Linked DNA regions of Arabidopsis thaliana. The protein of the gene in region 1 purifies or fractionates together with the protein of each later gene. This does not show direct contact. Each region holds a gene or a part of one and is shown on either strand. Other genes may lie near its edges. The genes, in order: AT3G18940 and AT3G25545.

Region 1 (4,854 bases):
GGTCAGCACCACTCCTTGACAGACCTACCGTGTCCTTCAATTTTTTTTCCAACAAATCCATAGTAGTTTTGTTTTATTTTACGTTCCTCAACAATAATACTTGCCTAGTTATTAATTCTTGTTTTAAAAGCGATTAAACTGTTTCTTCTCACATTTATATCAACTAATTTATTTTTATTTTATTTTTGAGAAAAATCAACTTAATTTCAGTCTATAAATTAGTAATTAGTTTTAGTTTTAGTTTTTTTTTCTAATATTCTAACTTGTTGTTTCTGAAATGAGTTTTTTTTTTCATATCATGATTTTAATATAAACCAAAAGGATAGCGATCAAGAAACGAAACATAATGTACCCAATGGAAGAGACAGCCAACATCAGAAAGTCTTCGCATCTCATTTTAAATGATTAACTCATTCATTTGAATTATTATATTTAAATTGTCATCATATGATATGGATCTCTCTGGATAATAATTGTCTTAACAATCACTTTAATATTTCGAGTGCATTTTTTAGAAATTTTTTCTTTTAAGTTTTATTAATATAAAAACTATATTATAAGCCTTTTTTCTAAGGTCAATATTTTGGTTAGGGCTTTCGATTAATTATACGTATGGACTTTAACTTAACAAAGTCTAAATTTGTGTTTAATCTATAACTACGATAGTTTTGTTTGCTTGAATTACGATAGTTGTTTGTTTTGTTTGTAGGTTTTTTTAACTCTGAGGCTTGTTTTGTTTGTTTTGTAGATGGTTAATTATGAATCTCATTTCTTTTAAAGGTTTCTCAACACTTGAAATGATTGCCATATTGAATCAAAATCTTGATATTCTTCAAAATTGGAAGTGACGCTCTTACTCTATTAGCTGAGAGTAAGTTACGCTCCAGCAAATTCAGGATCATCATAGGAATCTTATAAAAAAAAAAGCTTCCGCCGTTCCGCCCCTGAATTATGAAGATGAAGTTCAGAATTCTTCTCATGAGTCTTGAGTCTGAATCTTGACCAAAAAAAAAAAAGTCTTGAATCTGCGTACGTAATTACTACATTTTTTTAAAAAAACGTCTTCTCCTAAATCATGTAATTACTACTTTTAAGAAAAATGTCGTCTGAATCTTGTTATTAGTACTTTATTAAAAAATCTTCTCTTTTTAGTCTATGTTCTGAAATGAGTAACCTCATTTTTGCATCCAATGCGACGTAATACTAGTGCTTCTTTAATCAAAACTATAACCCCATTTCTGTAGGTACTTTTTTTAGATAGAACTATCCCTAGTGAAAGGTGCTTGATATGACCAGCCTTCTTCTACTTATTTAAAAGGTACTTGATATGACCAATCACTTGATATAAATTAAAGAATATGACCAACAGAAATTAAGAAAAAACATTGTACCGGCCCTGCTCTCATCTCTTTCCAATCTTATATATATGCTTTGTTCCTTTTTCCCTCAAATGGTTCACTTCAATAGTAGATACTGAGATACATCAACTTTTTATTTGGTTGTAGAATGTTAGCATAAGTCGTACTAACTACATTTACACCGCATGTAGTAGATTATAGACTTTCATTTCTTCTTTTATTTTCTCGTCACCTTTTTTTTTTTTGGACAAAATCGTCACCAAGTATATATACTCTACAGTTGTAGTCCATCATCTTTTTCCTTTATTGGGCTTTAATATGGCCCATATTACATTTGATTGATAATATCGGCCCAAATTAGTCACTGGCTTTCTCTTCAAGCTCGACCAAAGAAGAAGAACTGTTCTGAACGCAGGCAGAGATTCTTCGAACTTGATATTTGGGAAACTTGCAATCCGATTCTGTCACCAGTGTTTTGCCTTCATAAATGGAGTTTGTTGTTGAAGAAGGAAAGCTAGTGAATGAAGATTGCTCGACTTTAGTTCTCGTAAGTTGTTGTTTCGTTTCCTTTGCTTTTCTCCGATTTCGATCTGTTCTCTGCTTCTGGGTATTCGTTCCCTTTCGATATTTCCGTCTCTAAAGCTTAAAAACTGTACCTTTATTGAAGAGAAAATAGAAATTAGAAAGTCCCCAACTTTTCTTGGGAACATTGAAATCCCACGAAACAGTCATGAAACTTGTAGGAAAAAGGTTTAGGGTTTAGTAGCATTTGATGTTTCTCATAAAACAAATGTTGTAAAGATTTATGATTGATGAAGTTTTGATTTTGTTTCCCCCCACCAGCCAGCATTGTCAATTGGGAATGTAGGACAGCTCGCTGTTGATCTTCTAGTGTCATCTACTGGTGCAGAGAGAGTTGGTTATCTTGATGATCCAAATCTGCTTCCTTGTGTTGGAAATGATGCTTATGGCCCTCTTCCTTGTGGCGAGATCGCCCTTCCTCTCGAGGGTTCGTTTTCTCAAACTATATGCTTTGTTTAAGATCAATGAGTGCTTTGCTTTCTTAGATTAAGGATCCTCTGTTTTACATGATTAAGGTGTTATATAGGACAATAATAACACATTATTTGCCTTTGTATAGTTTGATGCCTAGATCTATGCCACTTTGTATTGTTGAATCAAACCTTTTATACTTGTGAAACCTCATTCTTTTCTCCGCTTTGGTTTTGTGTTTTCAGTTTATGAGTCATCTTCAATTGCTACTACCCTTGCTCAGCAACGGTCTCCAGTTGCAAAGGTATTTACATTGTTGGCAGCTTTGTCCTCGTTATTTCGAATCCTGTTTTTTGAAGGATTGCATTCAATGCTTTTTGTGTTGGGACTATGAAATGTCAATTAACTGGAGCTTTTCAGTAAAAAGATTGGGAATTTTAGTGAGTCATTTTTTAACTTACAATGTTGATTCAAAACAGGGAATGATGATTAAATTTGCGGAGAATATAGCCAATTTTGCTGCTTCAAGTGGAAAGAAGCACATCATTGTGTTATCGAGTTTAGACTTCCAAAGGCTGCATAACTTGGATATGTCGAGGTAACTATAACGCTTCCTTTTATATGTGTTTTGCTATAACTTTTTTCGTATGCCTTCAATGTAGAACTAAATATAGTCTAGTGCAAACAGCATCAGAGGTCTCTAATCACAGATTTGATTGATAAATAAATGAGCTTCACTTGCACCTTTTTCTTTCCACATTCTTAATTTCTTACTAAAAGCAAACTCTTCACAAGTTAATTCGTGGTCTCCTTGGCAATTACTTTAGAGGCCCACAGGTGTATTATCTGTCTAACGCTGAATCTGATGGAAGAGATGATCACTGTGAAAGGCTTGGGTTTGGAAGATTGCACGAGTATGATTCAGAAGGAAGATGTTGGAAGTACCTTAGCTCTGTCTTTGAAAAGAACAGTGTAGAAGAGCTGGCGTTGCCTTCAGAAGATGAACTTGAAGACATAGACTACTATCCAAGCTTGCCATTTGCAGCTCTTTTCTCAGCTTTTAAGGTAGATAAAATGCCTTATAATGAACAATGTAACCACTACGACTCATTTTTAGATGATTGAAACACTTATATGGCCTGTGCGGGGTTTATGTTGTTTTGGGGTTAGGCAAGAGGCTTGAAGATGACATGCCTGCTATGTTACTGTTCTGAAGGAGACAACATTCCTGAAGCATTTCTTCTAGCTGAGGCTTCATCTAAGCTTATGGGTCTGACTCCTGACAAGTTCCATGGTAAATAGTTCTATTCTTCCGAGGGTAACAACACCCGGGCAATTAATAGTGAGAGGCGATGAAACTTACTATGAATATTCTTTTCTGCAGGGGAAGAAGGTGGGAAATGGCAGATACCGTATTCATGGAAGAGTATGTATGGAGCTCCTCCGGATATGTCTATGTTTTAAGACTGTTGTTGGAGCTCACAGTGTCAGACACCGAGGTTGTTGTAGTGGTACAATTATGATCCAATGAGAAGTTTATGAACATTTGAGATGGTTTAATCCGATAGAGACACCTTTTCTTTCTTTCTTTTTTTTCAGTTTTTCATCATCAAATCTGCTACTGTATAACAACAAAACATAACAAGTAGAATTACATTATTAGACAAAAATGTATCTAGGGAGACAGGATCATAAAATAGGAGAGATTCAATCACGTTCTGAAATTATGTTTTTTAATCAAGAAGTGAATCTTTTTTTGTTATCAGTGGGTATATTATGAAATTTCGTATGATTCTAAACAAAGAGGATAAGATGCTAAACCAGAATCCGTGTAGTAAATCCTAAACCGAACAACAGTTAAACTCATGTCTCATCAGACCGGAATGCATAATGTATTTGATGTGACCGGTTATGCGTTTTCTCTGTGGATGCAAACAAATATAGCTTTGCATGAACAATAATAATGTAAGAAATATCTCCGGGACTAAAAGAAAAAGAAAGTAGTTGTTGAGCAATAAATTCTGGAGTCATTGTGTTTTATTGTATAGATAGACCAAGGCAAGTACTTCTGACCGGTTTTAATTTGCACCTTTATTGCCACCAGAATTTTATATATGTAATTTCTGACCAAGTAAAATACATGCAAATAGTTTTCGGTTCTTGAAAGAACTGATGGGGTCCTAACTTATGTACATGTGATTTGGTTAGTGGAGTACTTCTTTTTCTCACATATTTTGAAGACTAGTACAAAGTATATATGTTTAAAAATTACAGTCTTTAACTTGTCTATCATAATTTTGATTCTTGAACTTTATCATATTTACTAAACCTTAACATTCACATATGATGTCATTTACATAAAATTAATATTCGTTGAATATATTTGCCACCGAATAAGCATGTATTGGTGGTCAAAACTCATAATCATAGGAACAATAAACTTATACTTCATTAAATAATAGAAAAACATTCATTATAACAAATTTCTAGTTCACTAGAAGCA
Region 2 (4,308 bases), 2.7 Mb from region 1:
AGTGACAACATAAAAGACAGGAAGAAAAATAGTCCAAAAGTTCGAAAATTTAAAGAATCAGCTTGGAAGTGTATTTACTATCTATCAGCTGAGCTACTTGCTTTATCTGTCACATATAATGAACCTTGGTTTTCAAATACTCTCTACTTTTGGATTGGTCCTGGAGATCAGATTTGGCCTGATCAACCAATGAAGTAAGTTGTTTCGTTATGGTCATCGATATCTTTTGTGATGGTCATTTGCTAAAATATGATACTGCTATGTGTGCAGGATGAAGTTGAAGTTTTTATATATGTTTGCTGCTGGATTCTACACGTACTCTATATTCGCGTTGGTGTTTTGGGAAACAAGACGGTCTGATTTCGGAGTTTCCATGGGTCATCATATCACAACGCTTGTTCTCATTGTCCTCTCCTATATCTGCAGGTACGTATATTATACACTTGTGTTGTGGAGGAAAGGATACACTGACTCTTGTTTTGTTTTTGGATGTTGATGATATAGATTAACTCGTGCTGGTTCTGTTATTCTTGCACTTCATGATGCGAGCGATGTGTTCCTTGAAATTGGGAAAATGTCTAAATATTGCGGAGCGGAAAGTCTCGCGAGCATTTCGTTTGTTCTTTTCGCGCTGTCTTGGGTCGTTCTACGTCTCATTTACTATCCTTTTTGGATCCTGTGGAGCACGAGGTTTGTTTAATATCCACTTTAGCGTTTGTTCTTGAATGTTTTTTCCTTGATGTATATATATTGTGGGGTTTTGATTTGCAGCTATCAAATCATTATGACTGTGGACAAAGAAAAGCATCCTAATGGACCAATCTTGTACTATATGTTCAACACACTTTTGTATTTCTTGCTTGTTCTTCACATATTCTGGTGGGTTTTGATTTACCGGATGCTTGTGAAACAAGTGCAAGATCGAGGCAAGCTTAGCGAAGATGTTAGATCCGGTACGCAATAAAAACTCTTATTACAATATTTTGAGACAAAAACACTCTATTAATAATGTTCATGTCTTTTTGCAGATTCTGAAAGCGATGATGAACACGAGGATTAATCGCATGTTGGGAATATTAGTAGTGCACACGCTCTATATCTCATGAATCTGAACCACACGGAGACTAGGAATTTCAACATCAAGTAGGATGCATTGCAGTATTTGAACAGTTGGTTCATCATCTTCCAGAGGATCGTAACCGGATCAAACCGTTTTGAATGAATCGGTTTCTCAATCTGAATTTTTGAGTTTATTGTTTTCTCTAAAGTTTGAGCAAATTCAAGATTTTGATCAAACTGCTCCACGTTCTATTGTTTTTTCTTCTATAATTTTTAATTTACGCTTTTGCAATAACACAATTCCTTGTATCATTATACTAATGTCATCTCAAAATTAGCTCCCTTCAACATCTATGCAACAGACTAACAACTAAATGAATTTTCTTGGGGTTTTTTTTGGTTCATTGCATAATTTGATAAAATCCAATAAAATACTTGGAAAGGATAAAAGAAGAATAATTTTTCATAAATGAATGAAAAAAAAATCAGCATCTTTAGGCGCACAATAGTATCGCACGATAGCGACGCACAATAGTAGCGCACGATAGCGGCACATAATAGCGACACGCCTATGGGATTTGTTTGAGGTTTTAGCTTTCTCGCTGTCTTGGCCGAGAAGACTGAAACCAATTGCAACAAAAAGAAAGATAAAAAAAAACAAAAAATCTCTTCTTTGTTCATCATCATCGATCGATTCTACTGCAACAAGGTACGTCTTTTTCACTTCCTTCTCTGAACAAAACTCTAAATTTTGTTGCTTTTTTTTTTCCTGTGTCGTCTCGCGCTGCGATTCTTATACATCTTGGCTTCAAGTGATACTTTGCTTCCCAACTCTTGAAATGTATAAATTTTGAGACTTTACTGGAGATTTTGAGTTGGGATTGTTTTCATGTTCTTAAAGATTCGAGTTTCGATCTCTATATGATTCAGTAGATTGTAATTTTGAATCGGATGTCTGGAAAAGAATTGATTTTATAGTCTCTTAGGTTACTTTAAGTAGTACTTTGCATAAGATCTGTGATTTGATGATTGTTATCTTTTGTTACATTGCTGGTGGAGTATAATAAGATGAGCAAGAACCAACAGAAGTTTGCGTTTGATTTAGGTTATTTAGCAACTAGTCCTGTTTTGGTGTGTTTCTAATCTCACTCACTGGGTCTCTCTTATGTGGAATATAAGATATTTGATCCTACGACTGTTAGTGCTTTCATGCTGGGTTTATAATATGGATACAACTGAATTCCTGGCATTACATTTTTTGTTCAGAACCAATGAACTGTTTGTTTAGGTGTCATTGTTATCTAAGTGCTTGCATCCTTCTTCTGATGTGTGTGTGTCTTGATACAGGTCTGTGAGATTTTGATAAAAGCTAAGATATGGAAGATGTACTTACCGAGAATCCTCCACCTTCAAGATTCTTCCAAGAAGATCTTAACAACTTTGTTCAGCCACCTGAATCCCTTCCATCTCCTTTCATCATATTCTCAAACCCGAAACCTGAACTTCCTCTCCGACCATCTCTACTTATCATAGCCATATCTTCACCTTCCCTCTATATTTTCCATAGTTTACCTTCAAAGACTCTCCTTGGAAGTCTCATCATGCCTGAAGTTCCGTTTTCTGGAAACACCATGGAACCTTCTTTAGAAGACAAATCCTGCAACATATATTCCTTGAGTAGTGCTGATGATAAAAACTTGACCCTCCTCGTCTCTGTTCAGCTTCCTGTATCTCCTGAACGGTCTAACCTAGTCTCGAGATTGCTCATTGCCAAAGACATTATCCCCGAGCGGGTGATAATCTTGGATTCCATTCAGAGCCGTAACTTCAGAGGTAGACTCTCACCAGACGAAACATTGGCAGCCAAACTCGAGACATCTGCTGAGAAGAAAGCAACAACTCACACCGGTTTAGTGAATCTCGATTACTTCCCATCAGGGAGTGTAATCGACGGTCTGAGTGCTTCACTTTTGAGCCGGTGCCAGCTAAAGAACATAAGAGGAACATTGGTGATCTCATGGCCTGAGTTTGGTCCTTCAGTGATAAGATTCGCCGGAGCTCTGCTGAAGAAAATTGTCCCGAGTTTGGATGTTGCGAGTGTGAACAAAGATCTGGAGAAGAATTCTTCAAGAACTGGTCTTAAAAAGGATACTTGGCTTGACTCTGATCTATATACATGATTCAGAGACAGAGTAATGAAAGCTTCTCACTTGTTTCATGTTTCTATGCTTACTAGGAAAAAACAGAGACCTTATTTACGCTTGTGTTGTTCTCATTGCAAAAACAGTTTTGTTTCATTTCTACATTGTTCTTAGGTATGTGAGGACTTGTGATTTTTCTTAGTACACACAAATTATTGGGCTAACAACAATTTAGCGGAGTCGAACTCAAGTGAAAAATGTGGAACCACTTGACTGAAGACACTTCCCCGTTTTGGTTACAATCTTTGTAAAACGAAACGAATTTTCTTCATCCCAAAATAAGCCAACACATATCATGGGAAAGATTGCTTCGTCCTCTTCAGAGAGAGGAAGAAAAAGAAGAAGTGAATATCACGCAAGAGATATTGAAAGAGAAACCGAAAGAAGAAGACGAAGAAGAGAAGAAGAAGCAGGAGATGATCATGCATCATGGAAGAGAAAGCAAAAGAAGAAGAAGACAGGTTATTAAGATACCAAACGACGATGTGTTGGAAGAGATTATAGTAAGGCTTCCAGTGAAAACCCTAACTAGATTCCAAACCGTGTCTAAACACTGGAGGCATACGATAAAGTCTAGGTAAATCAGGAAGAAATACATGTTGCATCAGAAAACAAAAGAACCCAAATTTCTCTGTCTCTATGAAGTTAGAAGAAACGGGTCTAAGCCAAGCATTCGTTACAAGACCATGAGGTTGGAGTGGTCTTTGAGTCGTCTAGTGGGAGAAGAAGAATATTTAACTAGCAAGAAACACAAAGAGAGGCGGATACTATTTTCCAAGAGTGTGGATGGTCTTTTTTGTTTATATAGTGGTGTGGACATGAAACAGCCAATTATGGTGATAAATCCAGACACAAGATGGTCTAAGAAGCTCCCTCTTGCTAGGATTCAACGAAAGAATTATTTAGACAGCAACAAGGTAGAGTTCTCTCGCCTCGGGTTTGGAAAAGACAGCGTCACAGGAACATACAAACTAGTGTGGTTACGTACCAAAACAAAGAAGAAAATAAAAGAGGAAACCTCATCGACGATGACATGCGAGGTTTTCGA

The links.
Region 2: the proteins of AT3G18940 (region 1) and AT3G25545 fractionate together in Arabidopsis thaliana (co-fractionation; one large-scale study listed by BioGRID). This does not show direct contact.

The regions. Positions count from the first base shown.
Region 1 is NC_003074.8:6,526,042-6,530,895, reverse strand, and holds AT3G18940 (clast3-like protein), read left to right. Parts: upstream 1-1,722; 5' UTR 1,723-1,845; coding exon 1,846-1,905; intron 1,906-2,201; coding exon 2,202-2,367; intron 2,368-2,596; coding exon 2,597-2,655; intron 2,656-2,830; coding exon 2,831-2,949; intron 2,950-3,178; coding exon 3,179-3,416; intron 3,417-3,521; coding exon 3,522-3,645; intron 3,646-3,735; coding exon 3,736-3,815; 3' UTR 3,816-4,162; downstream 4,163-4,854.
Region 2 is NC_003074.8:9,275,202-9,279,509, forward strand, and holds AT3G25545 (trigger factor), read left to right. Parts: upstream 1-1,643; 5' UTR 1,644-1,768; intron 1,769-2,406; 5' UTR 2,407-2,435; coding exon 2,436-3,239; 3' UTR 3,240-3,490; downstream 3,491-4,308. Other genes in the region: TRAM, LAG1 and CLN8 (TLC) lipid-sensing domain containing protein, read left to right, coding at 1-194, 271-426, 505-690, 772-953, 1,029-1,060; AT3G25550 (F-box family protein), read left to right, coding at 3,677-3,837, 3,913-4,234.